2 linked regions of the Notamacropus eugenii genome follow. The protein of the gene in region 1 purifies or fractionates together with the protein of each later gene. This does not show direct contact. Links are inferred from orthologs where the notes say so. Each region holds a gene or a part of one and is shown on either strand. Other genes may lie near its edges.

What was found.
Region 2: the proteins of NIPSNAP2 (region 1) and HADHA purify together in Homo sapiens (affinity purification with mass spectrometry; 3 studies listed by BioGRID and IntAct, with this or other methods). This does not show direct contact. The link is inferred for Notamacropus eugenii from reciprocal best matches to the Homo sapiens genes NIPSNAP2 and HADHA.

What each region holds. Positions count from the first base shown.
Region 1 is NC_092873.1:43,382,443-43,392,205, reverse strand, and holds the start of NIPSNAP2 (protein NipSnap homolog 2), read left to right. Parts: upstream 1-5,699; 5' UTR 5,700-5,709; coding exon 5,710-5,837; intron 5,838-7,891; exon of another isoform or gene 7,892-7,906; coding exon of another isoform or gene 7,907-7,923; intron 7,924-9,530; coding exon 9,531-9,670; intron 9,671-9,749; coding exon 9,750-9,763. Other genes in the region: MRPS17 (small ribosomal subunit protein uS17m), read left to right, coding at 2,481-2,603, 3,950-4,255. UniProt on the Homo sapiens protein: Protein involved in mitophagy by facilitating recruitment of the autophagy machinery required for clearance of damaged mitochondria.
Region 2 is NC_092872.1:527,178,001-527,187,958, reverse strand, and holds the start of HADHA (trifunctional enzyme subunit alpha, mitochondrial), read left to right. Parts: upstream 1-5,833; 5' UTR 5,834-5,968; coding exon 5,969-6,035; intron 6,036-9,958. UniProt on the Homo sapiens protein: Mitochondrial trifunctional enzyme catalyzes the last three of the four reactions of the mitochondrial beta-oxidation pathway.

The sequences.
Region 1 (9,763 bases):
GTATTAGGAGGACCGCGCCCTGCACGTGTCACACTCTTGTCGTTGTTTCAGCTATCGCTCCCGAGTTTGAGGGGGAGAGGGGAGGGGCGCCTCTAGCCCCTCCGCCCTCGCTGAGATCCACGGAGGGGGAGCGTCACGACTACGGCGGCCTCGGCTTGGAGAGGTCCCGGGGGCACCCACGGAGCCCCAGAGCCCGGCTCTGAAAGGATGCCGCTCAAACTGGCCTCTCAGAACGCAAAGGACACGTCACTTCCGCTCGCCCGACCTTCTGACACTTACTCACCCCAAAGCCCCGAGTCTTTTGATTGGGAGAAGGAAAGGGGGCGGGGAGATATCAGGCCACGCCCCGAAGGGGGTGTGGGATGTTCTGGCCGCGCACAAAGGAGGCGGGAGCCCGAGCACCGCCCCCGGTCGGCGTGACGTCACCACGTTTGCCCGTCCGGGCGCGCAGGCGCTCGGTCAGAGTTCAGAGGTCAGGGTCTCGGGCGGCATGTGAGGGAACATTCCCAGGGCGGTGCGTGGAGGCGTCGCTGTCGGACCCTGGGACGTGTTTCCAGCGGGGTACGAGCCCTCTGGGGCCCCGCGGGGCGGCGGGAGGGACTAGGAAGTGGCGGGCCTGGGTGCGAGTCCCGACACCGACGCTCGGGCCCCGGGCAGGAGGAGGAGGAGGAGGGCGAGCCCCAGGAAGGCTCAAGGCCAGAGGGCAGCGCGACCCAGCTGGAGACTCGGGGTGCGGCCTGGGCTGCCCGGGGCTGGAAGGGACCCTCAGGCCACCGTCCCCCGGCCCTACGGGCGAGGAAACTGAGGCCAAGGTCCGGAAGGCCTCGCTCGGTGCCATCGAGCTCGGCAGTCCCCGGCCGTGAACAGCCCCTCCTAGCCGGAGGTCTGAGGTCCCCAGAGGAACCACCTGCGGGGGGCGGGCCGAGGTCTCTAGCCATTCCCCGCCCCCTCACGTCCTGCTCAGTAACCTCCCGCAGCGAATCCCGAAGGTCGCCCGGTGGCTCCCCCCCAATACTTACTCTTCCATCGGGTGACCGCCGCCTCCCTTCTGGCGGCTCCGTGGGCCGGACCCCTCCATCCTCTCCCCCACGCCGGCCACGCTGCCACTCCCTCGCCCCGCCCACTGACCTCCCTGGCCGCTAACGTCCCATCTTATGCTGGAAGCCTCCCCCAGCCGTTCTAATCGCAGTGCCTTCCCTTCTGGTCATCCCCGAGTTGTCCCAGAGCTCCTTGAGGGCAGGGAGTAACTGCCACCTGGAACCAGTCACTAAAGCTGCCTGGGCCTCAGTTTCCTTTTCTGTAAAATGCAGGGTTTGAGGCTCGGTGGAAGGGTGCTGTGCTCTTTGAGCAAAGCAGAATTGAGACAGCACAAAGTAAATGTAGGCTGCGCAAATTTAGGATATCTACCCAAAATATCCACGGACTATCTGTGGCAGAGCATTCCCAGCTTGTATTGGTCTGATCAGCCACAGTGGGACACACTGAAACTTCACTTTATCATGGGGATGTCATTTTGGTCCTCTTCGGAAGAGGAAGGACAACAGCCAACCAACCATCTGTAATCTAGTGGTTATCATCAGATTCCAAGAAGAAAAAAAGCCAAGTGGCTTTTCAAGCCTATACTTATTCACCTTTAGTACTCAGATTCATAGAAATGCAGACTTGTCATAGTCTGGAACTGAAAGGACCTCAAGAAATCTAGGCCAAGGATTCCTTGCCTGGAGTCAATAAATTTGTTTTTGTTTTTTTTTAATTATTTTGATCATTATTTCAATATAATTCTTTGCATTTGTAATCCTACTTGTTTTATTTTTGTGCTGCATAAAACAGTATTAGAATTCTAGGTGGTATAGTAGATGAGAGTGCCAGGCCTATAGTCAGTCAGGGTCATCTTCCTGAGTTCAAATCTGGCCTCAGACACTTATCAGCTGTGTGACCCTGGGCAGGTCACTTTACCCTTTTTGCCTCAGTTTCCTCATCTGTCAGATGAGCTGGAGAAGGAAATGGCAAACCACTCCAGTATCTTTGCCAAGAAAATCCCAGATGGGGTCATAAAGAGTCAGGACTGAAACAACAATTAGGAGAAGAGGGTCCATAAATTTTACCAGATTACCAAAGGGATTGGTGACACAAAATAGGTTAACATCCCCTAATCTAGGCCAGCACCAGGTCAGGAGGAGGCAAAGGGATGTTCCTGTTACTGACATATAGCCAGTCCCAGTCATTGGTAGAACCTGGGGTCAAACCCTACTCTCTTCTCTGTACTTGACTGAAGGGCTTCTCCATATTCATCTCCTAACTTCTCTTTGGGTGAGAGTAAAAGTAGCAAGCAGTATGAAACTTGGCTAAACCTCTCCTGTGTCCATGGACTTAGGTAGTCCTCTAGACAGAAGGAAATGTACTTATGTTATAAATCATAACCACCAACTAGACTGATTTTTAAACTTTGAAATTTCTTTTTTAGGTGACAAAATAACAAAATGTCAGTTGTTCGTTCTACTGTCCATGCCAAATGGATAGTGGGGAAGGTGATTGGGACAGCAATGCAGAGAACTGCCAAAGTGCAAGTCAACAGGCTTGTTCTGGACCCCTACTTACTCAAGGTGAATCTTATTATTATTTATCATCAAATAAGATGTATAAAACACAAAACGCAGAAGGTCACGGGGATAGATTAGTTCCTTAACTCTCCTTCGTAGATGAGCCAAGTCATTTTCATGTTTGAAAAATCATTATTGGCTACGCTCACTCAAATCTATCCTTGTTTTAGAACTTGTTTTAGAAAAACTTTTTGTCATAAATTACATGCCAAACTCATTGTGAACACATATCTACTTTAACAAGTTAATAATTTACATATTACGCCCTTTGTGTTTCTAATCTTTAACCAGTCAGTTCTGTTTATATACATAATTTAAATATCTGGTCATAGTGTAGCGTTGTTTTTATTGTTCAGTTGTGTCCGTCTTGGAGTTTTATTGGCAAAGATACTGGAGTGGTTTGCCATGTCCTTCGCCAGTTCACTTGACAGAGGGGGCAAACATGATTAAGTAGCTCCCCCAGGATCATGTAGCTAGTGAGTATCTGACCAGATTTGAACTTAGGGAGATGAGTTTTCTGACTCCAGACCCAGCATTCTGTGCATTCTGTGCACTGCCTAATTCTGCTTGCTTTATTATGTCACTTTACTATAGTATCTCATTACGGTAATGTCCCACCATTTATTCAGCCATCCTCCAGTTGATATTCAGTAATAATAGTTAACATTTATATAGTGTTTACTGTGTGCCATGCACTGTGCCAAACACTTTTTAAATATTATCTTATTTGATCTTCACAAGTCTAGCATGACAGAACTGACATTTAATCTATGTGCATTGTTAAGCTGCCGTCATTATCCCCAATTTACAGAAGAGGAAACTTGAGGCAAACAGGTAAAGTGACTTGCCCAGGGTCACACAACTAGTAACTGAGACCACATTAGAACTATGTCTTCCTGGCTCCAAGTGGTTGACCATTTTTCATTCTAGCAGACAGTGCAGCTAAAAATATTTAAAAAGTCCATGTGAGTGGTGAACATGGAGTATGACTAGTGATCAGAGAGAAAAGTCTGTATGTCGGGTTCCATTTCTACTTTGGATGCTGGCTTTGCCACCATAGGCAAGTCTATCTATTCCTCTTAGCCTCAGTTTCCCCATCTGTAAAATGAGGCTAGGGATACCTAGAGGATGATTATGGGATGAAAATAAGAGATGTGTGGAAAGCACTTTGCTCCTGGAATCTTGTGGATTTAATACATCCTGGGAGTCAAGTCCCAGGAGTGGGATTCACAGCTCAGAATATGACCACAATGTCATCAGAGCAAATAGCAGAATTGTTCAATTTTACTATTGGGTTATGAAGACGAGTGATTTAACTTTAAACTTGACCCTTCTGTTTCCCTCAACAGTACTTTAATAAGCGAAAAACATACTTTGCTCATGATGCTTCAGAGCAGTGCACAGTCGGAGACATCGTGCTCCTCAAAGCCTTGCCAGTGCCAAGAGCCAAGCACGTGAAACATGAATTGGCCGAGATCATCTTCAAAGTTGGAAGAGTCATCGACCCAATTACTGGGAAACCCTGTGCAGGAACCATGTACCTGGAGAGCCCAACAAGCTCTGAGGCTGCCCTCCCACCCCCCACCAAACCCGAGTCTGAAAGTCTGAAAGAATCCCTCAGCAAAGCTGCACAGAGCCCCAAACAAGCCTGCTGAGGGACACGCTGAACATGCAGACCAGGGAGGCTGTTGTAAATGTTTCCATTCCAGCCATCCTACTTCTGTAGATGAAGCATCGAAAAGTAATAAGTAAGGGACTTTTTCAAGAGCATGTTTTTTCCACAATGATAGTGACTGTTTCAAGTCACCTTATCAGAAGGACAGTGTGGGTATCAGTTTCTTAGAATCTCTGACCTTATTAACAGGCGCATTATTGACTAAGCCAGTTGTTTTGGAAAATAGGATTGATGGTCCATGGAATTTAAAATAACACAGGAGCCAGGGGGAGGGGAGCATAGGGAACGGACATGTTTGTAAATAATTATCTTTTTTTAATAGTAAAATATTGGAAGTACTTTAATGGAATTTTATTTTTAGTGGTTTGTATTCTATTTTTCTCTCACCTCTCATACTAAATGGAAAGAAACTGTTCAATTTTATGGCCAGATTTATTTATATAGATTAAGCTGAATTAATAAAAAACTTTTAAGGGGTTGGGAAAAGTGAACCCTAGCAACATTTTTTATTTCCAAGAAGCAGAATGTTCATTCATTCCTTTCTAAGATTACTGAAAATGAGGTTTCCCTTTTTGTGATAAAATCACAGCTAGAATTTGTTTTCAGACCAAGTAGTTAAGGGTTGTTCTTAATGAGGAGCACTTTTTGGATAGGTTGGGGGGGACCCAGAGGTGCCCACCTGTGCCCTGCAGGGGTGAAGGTTGTGACTTGTCTTGACCAAGTTAGACAATTCTTCAGTAGAGCTGGATTTCACAGTCATGTCCTGTTGGGAATCCAGCCCTGGAGGGAAAACTGACCTCTGAACTATGAAACAACAATGTATTTTAAGGCAAAGGAATAAGCATCTTTTAACTAGTGTGGAGTCTATGTAAAATCAAAAACTAGGATAAGGAAATACTGACTTGGCAAAGAAATGCTCATTCGGTTCAAGTGTCCTGCGTAGGCGGAGGTCAGAAGTCCGGTGGGACAGCACGGGCATTTAGTCCATGGGCATTGTTAAAGCAGATTTTGTTGCCTTGTGCCATCTGTACAGGGGGCCCCCAGGGAGGAAATTCCCCCTCCCTCAGCCATTTCCCCCCAGAATGTCTCCAATATGCAGGAGCTGCTGGACCACCGCTGACAACCCCCTTCTGGAACAGGTGTGAACCGGGAGGGTCTCGGCCTCGGCTGCGGCCCCAAACCTGCCTTCCTTGGAAGTGAGCCTCCAGTAACGCCTGCCTCCCCAGGCTAGGCCGGAGTGCTCTGCCGCTTCTCTAAGGCGTGGCCTGCCCTCGAAGGTCAAGGTCAAGTGCACCCAAGGGCACTCAGGCTGCAGCTGCTCTCTGCCGCCGCGGGGCGGCGCTCCGGGACGCCCCCTGGTGGCGGCGTTACGCGGCGCAGCGCAGGCCTCCCAGCCCGGGCCCGCCCCTTCGGCCTCCGTCGAGCGGCACTGGCATGGGGGAGGGGGCGGAGGGCCGGGGTGGGGGTGGGGGGGCCGAGCTAAGGCGCCAGAGCAAGATGGCGGCGCGAGTGCTGCGGAACCTGGGAGCGGCCGCGCCCCCCCGCCTGCGGCCAGCCCTCAGGTGAGCAGCGCCTGGCGGCCCGGCCTTGACCTTGAACCCCGGGCTGGGACGGGTGAGGTCTATGGCCCGGCGGCGCTCCTCCCCCGGCCCGGTGCCCCGGCCGGGGTTCAAGGTCACGAGCAGGGGCCCGAGCGCCCCTCCAGCCCCACGCGGGAGCCGGGCGGGGCCTAAGGACCCTTCCCCCTGCGGGCCACGCCAAGGGGGAGGGAGGGGGCGCGGGGCTGGGGGCCGACCGTGACCGTGGGTGCGGGAGCTGGCGGCCAGGCCCGACCCCACTATGGGCCGTGGCCGCGGGGGAGCCTGCGGGCGTCCGACTCGATCCCCGCTGACCCCCGCTCTGGCCGCTGTCGCCCTCGGGCCAGCAGGTCAGTGCCAGCCTGGGCTCTGATCCGTGACGCTGTCCTCCCCCGGACCGGGCTTCATGCTCCGGCCGCGGGCTGGACCTCCGAGTTCCCGCTGTCCACTTAGCTTTGCATCCGCTGGTTTCGAAGGGGCGAGTGACACGTAATCCTTGTGTGTAACTGACATTCGTCAGTGACATGTAACTGACCAGAGCAACTTCTGGAGAGCGCAGCGAGCGGCGTTGCGCCTCCCTCCTGGGCCGGGGAGTCCCGGACAGCGTTCTTTGTGTGTAGATATTGTCCCATCCCGTTCTTTTCAAGCATATGCTATACCAGGTACATTAAGCGCAACGCACCCAGGGAACGGTGAAACAAGAATAGAAAATAAACATGGCAGCGAAATAATGCTCACAGGTCCTTCTTGCAACTCTGAAGTGTATGCCTCTGCATTCACTTGAATGCTTCTTGGTTTCACATGCTGAAATCCGTTCTAACCTTTACCACAAGAGAATTTCTTTTTTTTTTTTTAGGGAAATGTTTGACGTTTTGCTCTGGCTCTTTGGAAAACTGCCCACCTCAAAGTGCTTATTATATATAAAGGAATTGCTAAAGATACTAAATGCTAAAGATATAAAGCAAAGAAATATTGTTTTAATTTCAGAAAAGGCAAGTAATCTAATCTAAATTCAAAAGGCAGAGAACATTGTTTATATACTGGGCTTTGAGACAATCAGTTTAGATTTTGAAATTTCTGATAAAGTTTAATAGATGCAGACAATAAAAGTTTAAGATTAGACAAAAACCTAACTTCATTTTTAAAAAGATGTGGTAGAGATTATGCTCCGGAATATTTGATTTTGGTTTTTGTGTGTGCCAGTAACAGATCCTAAATGTTTACAAGATACTCTCCTACATATATTAATCTATGAAAAATGTAATTCTGTTTATTGAACAATTTTTGCTGTTTTCAATAATGTATTTTAAGAATCACTTTTTTCTGCTAATGCCCCAAGCCCATCTTAAGAAAATGTTTTATATATTTAAAAAGTATTCTTATTTACTGTCTTTATATTTGCATATGTTTATATAGCTACATATTTCAAAACGCTGTCCCATGTAGTTTCAGACAATTGAAATTAAATAAGTCAATATAGTCTATGGATTGAGATATATAAAAGCCATTAAAATCCAGAGCAGCTTTATTTTTTTTTAATGACTGGAGATAGGAGGAAGACAAATCCAGTAAATTTATAAAAGCAACAAGTTAATCTTAAGAATAAGGAAAATACAATTTTGCATAGTAGGTGGATATGTTGTATAAGAACAGATTTGTGTAATTTGCAGGATTTTCAGTTATGAGCATGTGTATCTATCTTGTAAAACCAAGGGAGATTTGTATCCTTGAGTGTTTTCTTCCCTGTATTTCTTGGCCCTGAAGGTCACCTTCCTAATTGCTAGCTCACAGTTATTGTTAGGGCCTGTCCTCCCACGCTTTGTTCAGAACTGTCAGACTCCTTGGCTACATGGATACAGTATACAAAGTAACACTTTGCGATACTCTGTGACTAAGTTCTCATTGTCTTCATTTCCTTAAATTCAGAAGCCTACATGAAAGCCCTACAGCACAGGCCTGGGGATATTAGGATGTGATTTCTTAGGGAAAAACGAAATTCCTCCAGAATTTTTTATTTAGGCACATTTGTTGTGATTCACAAACTGATAATTGCCATGACACAGCCAGTAAGGTGAGACAATATTTGTTGAATTCATTTTACTGAGAGATGGAGAAAGAAGTTACAAATAATCTATCCAGGGATGATCCTCAGGATTCATTTGATACTCCTTTCGGGTGGAGTACAGATCACATTTCTGAGCTTGGGCTGAGAGATTGAACTTGATCTATGGGGCAGTGGGAATCCAAAAGTTTTAATGTAGGTGGTAGGATCCAACCCATGGGAAGAGTAGTCGATTTGGGCCAAGACAATGAAGATCCATCAGAGTGATAAGAAGGTGGGAGCAGGGTTTGTAGGGAATGTTCAGTGACTGGTACCACTTTGTAAGAGTGCCTACCTGGTCTCTCTGACAGGGTACATGTACCAAAGTACTGTGCCTGGCACATAGTAGGTGCTTAATAAAGGTTTATTGATTGGTTGACTGTTATAAATTCATTTGGAAGATGGAAATTATCCAATCTGTCCTGTGTGATAGTGTTTGTATCTTTAGGTTTAATTAGAGTAGAATTGACTTTAGTGAAAAGTCATTTTTGAGGTACTTTTCATTTTCTTTACACAAATTTTGCTTTGTCAAAGGTTGTTTTAGAAGGAGAAATGCATTCCTAGAATCCTGAAATAAAAACTTTTATATATGGGTGCTCTGGTAGAAAATACAGTCTGCTGAAGTCTTTCTCATTCCACTTGGACGTCACTTTGGGGAGTAAAATAGTTTCATAAACTAGTACTTGGCCTCTTCTGATTAGACAAAATAAGATGATTTGGCAAGATGGTTTGAATAACTTTTTGTAAAGTTTGATAATACTATGATAATTAATAAGATGGTTTGAATAACTTTTTATAAAGTTTGATAATACTATGATAATTAATAAGATGGCTTGAATAACTTTATAAAGTTTGATAATACTATGATAATTAATAAGATGGTTTGAATAACTTTTTATAAAGTTTGATAATACTATGATAATTAATAAGATGGCTTGAATAACTTTTTATAAAGTTTGATAATACTATGATAATTAATAAGATGGCTTGAATAACTTTTTATAAAGTTTGATAATACTATGATAATTAATAAGATGGTTTGAATAACTTTTTATAAAGTTTGATAATACTATGATAATTAATAAGATGGCTTGAATAACTTTTTATAAAGTTTGATAATACTATGATAATTAATAAGATGGCTTGAATAACTTTTTATAAAGTTTGATAATGCTATGATAATTAATAAGATGGTTTGAATAACTTTTTGTAAACTTTGATAATACTATGATAATTAATAAGATGGTTTGAATAACTTTTTGTAAACTTTGATAATACTATGATAATTAATAAGATGGCTTGAATAACTCGTGTGTATGTAAAGCACTTTGAGTTTTATAAGTTACTTATTGAAGTAAGGATTGCAAGGTTATGATTCCACATTTTACAGATGAGGAAACTGAGGCTGAGGGAGGCTAAGTGATTCTGCAAAGGTCAGATGGTTAGTAAGTCTGGGAGATGGACATTTAATAGTGTCTTCTGTGAATAATATAGTAGTTTGACGCTACTTAATTAAAAAACATATAAGCCACTGAAATTCTCATTCAACCTGCACTGACATATCTGTTCATTCCCAGGGGCCTGACAACTTCCTCCAACAGACCTCGTGAAGATAGTTGGTTAAAATCTTTATTTGTCCGGAAAGTTGACCCACGAAAAGATGCTCATTCCAATCTCCTAGCCAAAAAAGAAACAAGCAGTCTGTACAAATTACAGTGTAAGTGAGGTTTTTTACATTTTAATATTTAAATTGCCTTCCTTTGTTCATAAATTTATTATTAATTTCCTTGTTTCAGTTCACAATGTGAAG
Region 2 (9,958 bases), on another chromosome or scaffold:
CAATGTCATGTGGTCATGCTGGTAGAGAAAGAGTGAGGAAAAAAGATAGGTAGAGTAGGTGTGGAGTAAAGATCCTTGTATAAGTATTAACCTAAAATTTATGTAACATTCTTAATTCTATGATCTAGCTCTATAATCCCTGATGCCACAGATTAGCTACAATCTTAATCATGCCCCAGTCTTTCATTTCCATTAATTAGGAGTTGTCTCTGCTATAGGAACATCTGTGTACATTTTACAATGGAAGTCAACAAAACTTATTTCTTCCTGTAAGAGACACAAAGGAAACACTGCATATATATTTGCTGATCTATTCCATAACTTTCAAAGGACTACCTAAAATAAACCAAAAACAATCCAAGAACAATTAATCTCTTACCCCTGAAAGATAGTCATCTCTTAGAAAGATGGTGCATTTTTGGTTGGGTTTATATACATATATATACATATACATATGCATATATATATTTTAGATAAAAGCTATGCCATTTATCCTTAGCCCTCAAAATAACTATTTTAAGAACCTTCCCTATGCCACCACAAGAAACTGTGGTTTTACACACAAACTCTACTTAGGTTGTGGTCAAAAGGATCTTTCTTTAAAACCAAGAAAATGAACTGTTCCTTAACATTGCAAAGTACCCTTAATAAAATAAGGTCATTTACCTATCTGAGAAAGCTTCTAACATGTTAAGGTTATGATTTCAAATATAATAGAGTTGGAAAATTTTCCCCAACCCATTGGCTTTGTATTAGTACCAAATATCTATCAGTCTTTTCTTCTCTAAGTTCTATCCTTTTCCCTCTACTTCCTGTATTATTAGATAAGAAACATAATTTTCATTTCACATCAAACTTCCACAAATTTCCATGAATTTATCCTTCTTACCCATGTCCTGTTATAAATCTGCCATATGGCTGCACCCCACATACTAACCGGAGGGTTTCTTTTAAATCTCTGGATATTATGTATATGTGAATAGATTGAATGAGCTACCCATAAGACATTTTTCCAAACTGCCTGGTCCATTTCCTTATCTCAAACATCTCTCACTTCTCCAGTGCTATCTTTTCTGCCACAAGATTCCGCTATACAGTTCTTCCATGGTAATAAAGTGTAGTGTATTTATGTCCCCTATGTATCTGTCCATTTCTCTTTGGGCAGAGGCTGTGATATATTCCTTGACTCTCAAAGGACATCACAACCAGAATACTGACTATGTTAAAAAGATAGATCTCTGTTTCAGCTTAATGCTTGGAGGTCACTAAAAGCATTTCCCAAAATGTAAGCTAATCTAGCCCATGGCTTTTCTCTTATTCAATTCTGTCCAATACCCTTTTCACATTCAAAGCCTAAGATACATATATTCATAGGTCAGCTCTATAGGCTGCCCTTCTAAATGCTCATTGTAATCTGGATAACAGGTATTCTTCTTCCACTTGGTATTTTCTACATGAATAATTATGTGAAACTCTTTTGAGTAATTAAGGATTTTATTTAGAAGATTTTGTACTATTCCAGAGGCTTGACACAATCCACCTCACCATCTACAACATTAGTTCTTAACTTGTTTGTGTCACAGAGCTCTTGGGTAATCTTCTCAGAATACTCTTTTTTTAAAAAATATTTATTTATTTATTTTTAGTTTTCAACATTTATTTCCACAAGATTTTGAGTTCCAAATTTTCTCCCCATATCTCCCTTCCCCCCAAGACAGTGTACATTCTGATTATTCCTTCCCCCAATCTGTGCTCCTTTCTACAACCACCACCCCCTTTCTCTTATACCCTTCCCCTTCTATATTTCTGTAGGGCAAGATAGATTTCTATACCCCATTGCCTGTATATCTTATTTCCCAGTTGCATGTAAAAACAATTTTTAACATTTGTTTCAAAAACTTTGAGTTCCAAATTCTCTCTCTTCCTCCACCCCCATTGAGATAGCAAGCAATTTGAGACAGGTTATACATGTGTAGTCATGCAAAACACTTCCATAACAGTCATGCTATGAAAGACTAATTATATTTGCCTCCAACCTATCCTGCCCCCCATTTATTCTATTCTCTCTTTTGACCCTGTTCCTCCTCAAAAGTGTTTGCCTCTGATTACCTCCTCCCTGAATCTGCCCTCCCTTCTACCATCCCCTTTTCTCTTATCCCCTTCCTCCCACTTTCCTGCAGGGTAAGATAGATTTCCATACCCAAATGAGAATGTGTGTTATCCTCTCCTTGAACCAAATCTAATGAGAATAAAGTTCATTCATTCCCTCTCACCTTCCCCCTCTTTCCCTCCACTGTAAAAGCTTTTTCAGAATATCGTTAAATCATAAAATAAAGTATAAAGGACTACAAAGGAAACCAATACACTGAAATACAGTTGTCAAAATATATTTTTAAATTAAGATGATATCTCTCTCCTCACCCACCCCCCATTCTTTGAAGGGAGCACCTGGTTTCCCAGGTATGATATGGAACACTAAAGATTTTTTTGTAATTTGGTTTGTTTTGCTGAATTTTTTCCCCTCTTCTTCCCCATGCCCCTCTTTTAGATTTTTTGATATAAAGGATGGTTCTCCAAGAGAGGAAGGGAAAAATCTAGTAAGAACAATATTTTTAAAAAGTAAAAATTGTGAAAGCCTGCCTGTTCCTTTCTCATATTTTCATCAAGAATGTCTTTAATATATATGTAAATTAATTTCAAAGGTTTTCTAATGAAAGAAGTTACAGTATATGTTGATTTAAACTGGAAGGAAAGCTTCTTGGGCAAGTCAATCCTGTTTGCTTCAGTTTCCTCATCTGTAAAATGAGCTCTAGAAGGAAATGGCAGTTTAATCTCACTTAATTCTCAAAACAAACATGTGAGATAAATATACGATAAGTATATTTTCTCATTTTATAGATGAAGAAATTGAGGCTGAATGAAGTTAAGTGACTTTCTAAGGGTCACATAGCTACTAGATCTGAGGCAGAATTCACATTGAGGTCTTACTGATCCTAAATCATACTTGAGATCCAATATACCAACTGTCTCTCAAGAAGCTGACAATGTAACTGAGGAGAAAGGACGGGAATGTATATAGGAAATAACATAAGTAACAGTAAGGCAGCATCTAATACTAAACAAGATTTGGGAGAGGGAGACGACAGCATGACATTTCGAGTAGTCCAGGAAAGCTTTCGGAAGTTGTGACTTCAAATTTGGCCTTAAAGATAACAGACCAGTCTCTTGTCTTCATGAAAGCAGACTTATGTAATTTTTGTATCTCTCCAAAGCAAGAAGTCCAGTGCTCTATAGAGAGTAAACATTTAACAAAAGTTTGTTGAATTATTTCCATATCTTACCTGTGCCTTCTTCCTCACCTTTGCTCTTAAACCCCCATAGCTCCCTTACACTGCTCAAGTGTCATTTCCTACGGGAGACCTTTCCTTATACCACAGCTGTTATAAGCTCCTACCTCCCCCCACCCCAATCCAACTCCAGCCCATTACTCTGTATTTAGATGGTATATATTCTGTATTTACCTAACTGTGCAACTGTTGTTTTTTCCCAGTAGACTTTAAGATCCTTGAGAGCAGAAACTTTTCATTTTTATTGCTATATCCCCAGTTGAGTTAAGTAGTCCTTGCTTTGCTAAGTTTCATGATCTCAGGTAATACTCAGCCTCAGAGAACCACACCTTCACAGGTTCATAGAACCTCAGAATTCACCTGAGAGGTTTAGTCCAACCTGTACCCAAGTAAGTCAAACTCAGTGACAAACTGTCACCCAATCTACCTTAAAGATGTCCAATAACAGGAAATTCATTACCTCTGGAGGCATCTCATTTCACTTTGGGCCTATATCCTTGGAAGAGATTTTATGTATATGTGCACATGTATATATACAAACACATATTTAGATGTTATTTTTATTTTTTCCTCAATTCCAGATAAACAAAAATTTAACATTCATTTTTTAAAACTTTGAGTTCCAAATTCTTTTCCTCCCTCTCTTTTTCCATCTTTAAGATTAGGCAAGCAAGTGGATATAGGTTGTGCATGTTCAGTCATGCAAAATATTTCCACATTAGCAAAAATTCTGTTTTGAGCTTAAACTTATCTTAGCAACTTTTACTCAATACTTCCAGGTTTCCACCTCCAGGATCTCACCCCTCTCTTCAACAGGACAACCTTTCAAAGCAGTTTTTTGTTAAAGTTTCTTCTCCAGACTAGATATTCCAAATTCCTTCACCTCATCCCTCTATGCTATGGTTTCCTACGGGTCAAGCTACGGACAAAGCTCCAGATCGTCAACTTCCTTCTTAAGATTCAGCAAATACACATGTTGTTTGCCTAGTGGGTTATGAAACCGAAGTATTTGCACCAGATGTGCAAATTGGGATACCGGCTCTGCCTGTTTGGGGAGGATGCCCTAAAGATAAAAAAAAAAAAAGCGACACAACTTGAGACATTATCTAGTCCGACCTCCTTATCTTATAAATGAGGAAACTGAGGCCCTCGCAGGCAAAATGAAGTGCCCAGGACTCTATCCTACCTCAGCTACCTCCTCTCATGCACCAGAAAGTATTTTAGGATCGTAAGAAGTAACTGCTTTCTCTCGCTTGCTCTCTCCCCATCCTGCTTGACCTCTCCTCTCCTCTCCCCCCGCCCACGCCAGAAGCAGCCACTCGCAGACCCCGGCCTCGCCCCGACGTGGGCTGTCCCGAGGCCGTGCTCCCCTGGGGTGCTCCGGAGCTGAGGCACACCAGCACCACTCACCATCCCGCTCTAAGTCTACGGCGGCAGCCCCAAACAACGCTTGGGCTTCACTGGAGGCTGCGATCTACCCGCTTACTACATGCTCACAGCAAGGAAACAAGCCAGCAACAGCTGGTCAAAAACAGGCTTCGGGCCAACGCCTGGGATTTCCGTCTGCGTTCTAAAAGGCGCCGGACCTGGAAGCCCAGGGACCTGGGTTCGAGACTCCGTGCCGACGCTGACAGCCATGGGCTTCGGGCCCTACTTTCAACCTACGTATCGAAGAACACAGAGTAGATTTATGCAGAGAAATAAGTAAATAGTAATAGTCACAGTCTACCCCCCACGGAGCTGCCCGCAGGAAAGTGCTTCGTAAAACGCGCTGCGTGCGGGGGGTGGGGGAGGTTCCAGGATCTGGAGAAGAGAGGCTGGGGCAAAGACTGGGAGCGGAAGGCCGCCGTCTATCCCGTCATTTTACAGGTGGGCAAACCAAGGCCCCGAGGAGAAGCTCCATCCCCTCGTTTTACAGATTCGCAAACCGAGGCCCAACCCCTTCGTTTTACAGACAGGGAAGCTGAGGCTCAGAGAGGGAAAACGACCCTCCCGCGATCACGAGTCACCCGGTTACCGTGCCCCAGTCCCATCCACCAGTCCACACCCCGTCCCCCATGATCGCGACCCAGGGCAGGGTGGGCCGGGGGCCGAGCCAGGGCCGGGGATGGGGCGTGGAGGAAGAGGCCCCGGTCGGGTGGGTTCGGGGGCAAGAGCGCTCCCTCCTCGCTCACCTCAGTTCTACGGCTGTCCGACCTCCAGCCCACAGCGATCCTGCCAACTAGAGGTGAACGGGCCGGACCAGACGCCGCCGGCTATAAACCGCCCCGCCCCGCCCATCGGTTACGTTCCGGGCTTCACCACATCTCCCCCCCCGCCGCCCCACAACCGCATTCCCGTCCGCGGGCTGTTCTGGCCTTCGCCTGACAGAAACTCCCCCGAGCCCCGCCCCTCCGCCCAGGGGCGGCTTCTGCTCCGGGGACTAGGACGGGAGGCTCTTCCGCCCGCTTCCGCCCGAGCAGAGGCCAGGGGTGCCCGCGGGAGCTCCGTCCCTGCCTCGGCTCCCTTCCGGCAGTGTACCGGGCAGGCCCGAGCGGGCAGAGTCCCTGGCACCGAGGACCCCTGCTTCGCGGCTTGCCCAGCTCCCCGCGCGAGCTCGCATTCGCCCTCTCCCGTCCAAGATGGTGGCCGCCCGGGCAATTGGCAGCCTCGGCCGCCTGACGGCTTCCCGCGCCCGCCGCTTCCCGGGTGAGGCCGCTGCTGGGAGGGCGGGGAGGGGAGGGAGCCGGCCTCCGGAGACCCCCTGAGGGTGGGTGGGGAGGGAGGCAGAAGATGCGGGCCGCTTCCCCTGACCCCGCCCCCGAGCGGAGCCCAGCCGCCAGCCCCCGAGGCGCCCACCTGTGTCGCTGCTTGCCCAGCCGGCAGCCGCTCCCTGTCCACTCCCCGGGGGGTCCAGCATCCAGAGAGTTGGAAGGGACGTCCGAGGTCACCTCATCCCCTCCTACCCCCGAGAAAGCCGAGGCCCGGGGAGGGGAAGGGACTTGGCCAAGGTCACGGGCAGAGTCAGCGTTGTCGCCGACCCCTGACCCCTGCAGTCACCGCTGCCCCCAGATCTGCCCCTTGCCCATCCTTCCCTGGCCCCTGCATTTCAGCTGTCCGGGTGGCCGGTGCCCGCCTCCGAGCTGGGGTTCAGATCCCAGGTCTGGCACTTCATGGCGTGTAGGGCAGTGGGAAAGCTCTTTAAGCCTCTGTGACTCATCAGGGAAATGGGGACGTAGCTACGACCCCCGGGAATTACATGGATCCCAAGGTGCTTTACGTGCTTTGCCAGCTTGAAAAAGCTCTGCACGTATTGGCGCTTATTGGGTGAAGTACCCGCTCGTGGAGAGCAGGTGCGGGGCTTGTCCTGCCTGCCTCGTGTGAGAAGCCACTTTAGTGGAGCGGACGGTGCTGGTTGGTTGGAGTTCCCCACTTGTCTGCAGGAATTAGGCTATTTTTGCGGCAGGTGGGGCTTACCTTGACATAGTGGATGGGGAGCTGGGCTTGAAAACTGGTTTCAAATCCGGCTTCTGACCCATACTAGCGGGGTGAGAATCACTTAAACCTCTCGGTACACTAGGCCGTTAAGACTGTAAACTGCAGGGAAAAGGTTGGCTGGCATTGGTAGAGAGGGTTTCCCCTGGTCATAAAATCAATAAAATCCAGTCTCCACTGATCTTACAGCGATTAAGAGACCGTATGAGTGATGTGATGGCTAAAGGAACAACTTTGGATTGCTTTGATTTCAGTTCAGTTCAGCATGAATTTTTATGTAGTTTTTACATGCCAGGAACCGGACTAGGGGCTAAGGGTTGCTTCTGACTGCTCTAAGGCACCTCAGTTAAGACCCTAAATTACAAGCAGGTTTGAATTGGGAATTTCTGATGGAGTAGAGGAAAAAGCAGTTCTGACCCCCAAAAAAGTCACTTTCTGGAGTAACTTGGCAGTAAAAGAATTAATGTGGGTGAGGTGACTTCTAAGTGTGAACTTGGGGGATTTTCTTTCCCATTTAACTTTGTGTGACTCTGTCACCATAGGAAGGTGAGCCCTGCAGTTTTATTTAACTTCTCTTCGGATAGTTATGATATGCTAATGCATCAAAAGATGAGGCTGTATAAATAACAATGCAATTGGAACTCAAGTCTTCCGACTACAGTGTTAGAGCATTGGAATCAGATGATCTGAAGTCCTGTCTACTTTACCACAAATCTTTATGAGTTTTTGGATTTTGGATTCCAATCTTCCATTCTAAAGTTGATCTCTGAGATCTTTTCCAGCTGAAACATTCTGTGATTCTGTGTTCTTTATCATTTAAAAATTGTTGTCATTTGTGCTGATGTTGAAAGGTCTAGTGTGAAAAAGGTAGCGTGGGTAGATAAGAAGCTTGTCCTGGAGTCAAGAAGACTAGTAGGAAACCTGTCTCAGATCCTTGTGTAACTGGAACAGTTGCTTAACTAACCTCTCTCAGCCTCAGTTTTTTTTAATCTGTAAAATGAGGATGATATGGGAACCTCCTTTTTCATGAGGGTCGAATGAGATAATATATGTAAAGCATTCTGCATATTTTGAAGTTATATGTAAATTATATATATATATAATACTCTTATTAAAGGTGGAGGGAGGGCTAGTGGTGGACATTGGAAGACCTGGATTCAAGTCCTGTTTCTGAAACCTACTGTCCTATGTGGCCTTAAGCAAGTCACTTAACCTTAATCTGCTTCTGGGCTGACCTCTGAATTATAAATTACAGATGAACTGGTAAAAGTTTTCACATCTAGAATTCACCACACAAATGATAGTAAATGTCTAGGCCAAGAAAACACTGGGATTGTAATTACAGAAAAAAACACCTACAAAAATTACAAAGAATAGGAAGGCAAGTGTTAATTCATGTCTTTTTTGGGAGTATCTACACTAATGAGATCATTAATCCAGTATAATCACAAAATATTTTAAAGTTTTTACTCCAGCCACAGATTTTGACTAGTTGAAGGTTATGATTGGAGATTTTTTTTTCTGCCTTTGTGTATTGAATGTAATTTCTGCTTTAAATTTCCCTGAACTCAAACATAATAACTTATCAACTTATTTAAAGATAAGAAATTGACCTCTCACTTTTAGGAACTAATGACTTTATGACCTTTGTGTAAATTTGCTGCTGAATGGCTGCCTAGTGAATCTGATCTAATCAAAATTAACTTTGTAACACTGAATTCTTAACCCTTTATCTTCTGTAGCAATGGAGGGAAAAGTTATTACCTCACTCTAATATAGCTTTCAAATTATGTGAGTGTTATATGAATTAACATTGTTTTTGTAAATTGAAGGCAGTTTCCTGGCAAAGTGGGTAGTTTTACTAGCCCTCTTCCTTTTTAACTTAATCCCATTTCCCTCCCTCCCTCACTTGAGATATTTAGAAAATGATTAAAGCTTTCATTTCCAAAATATTGTTTGCAGTTTCAACATAATCTGTTTTTCTTTAGGAACCCTAGTTGGGGAAGACAGTTGGTGGAAGACATATTTTCATAAAGCTTGGAAGATATTAGTTTCAGTCTGCTCCCATGTTTAGAAAGTAGGGCAAAGGTTACTCTCTTCTTAGCTGGCAGACTGGAATATAGGCCAAAGTTCACTGAAGCGGCTGTAAGAAATGACAAGCAGGATGCTTTCAGAAAAACCTAGAAAGATTTCCATGAACTGAAGCAGTGACATGAGCAGAACCAGGATATTATTATACACCAAGAACAGCAGTATTATATGATGAAGAACTGTGAATGACTTGGCAGTTCTTAGCAATAATATCCAAGACAATTCCAAAAAATTCATGATAAAAAATGCTACACTTCCAGGGAAAGAACTAATGGAGTGTGAATGCAGACCAAAGCATACTGTTTTTCACCTTTTTTGTTTCAGTTTTCTTCCACAAAATTACTAATATGGAAATATGTTTTACATTATTGCACACATATGGCCTATGTCAGCTTGCTTACCATCTTTGCATGGGGGAGGTGGTAGAGAATTTGGAACTCAAAATGTTTAAAAAGAATGTTGAAAATTGTTTTTACATGTAATTGGGGAAAAAATATAATATTTTTTAAAAGATAGAAAGGACCTATATTTACAGAAATATTCACAGCTGCTTTATAAATAATAGCAAAATACTAGTAACTGTGTATTCCATTAATTGGGAAAATAGTTCAGTAATAATGGAAAATAGTTCAATAATAGATATCATGGAATATTATTGTACTGTTATTAAAATAGCAGACATAAAGAATAGAAAGACATATGGGAAGTGATGTAAAACAAAGTCAAAAGAAGTCACATTGACCATAATCATATTTTTAAAAGGCTACAAAATTATATAAGTGCAAAGAACAGAATGGAGTACTGAAAATATTGATGTTAGTGTTTTGTAAAAATTGATGTTATTTTCAAATTGTTACAATTTTAAGGTCTTATTTGAAGATTTATACTACTTTGAGTATTTGGATATTTGAAAATATTAAATTATTTACAGTAAAACAAATTTTGAGATATAAAAGGTTTCATTTAATTGTAGTCATATTGCTGTTTGAGATAACCTTTCACATCTCATGAGTAGGTGAACACATGACTAGGGCACAGTGAGAATA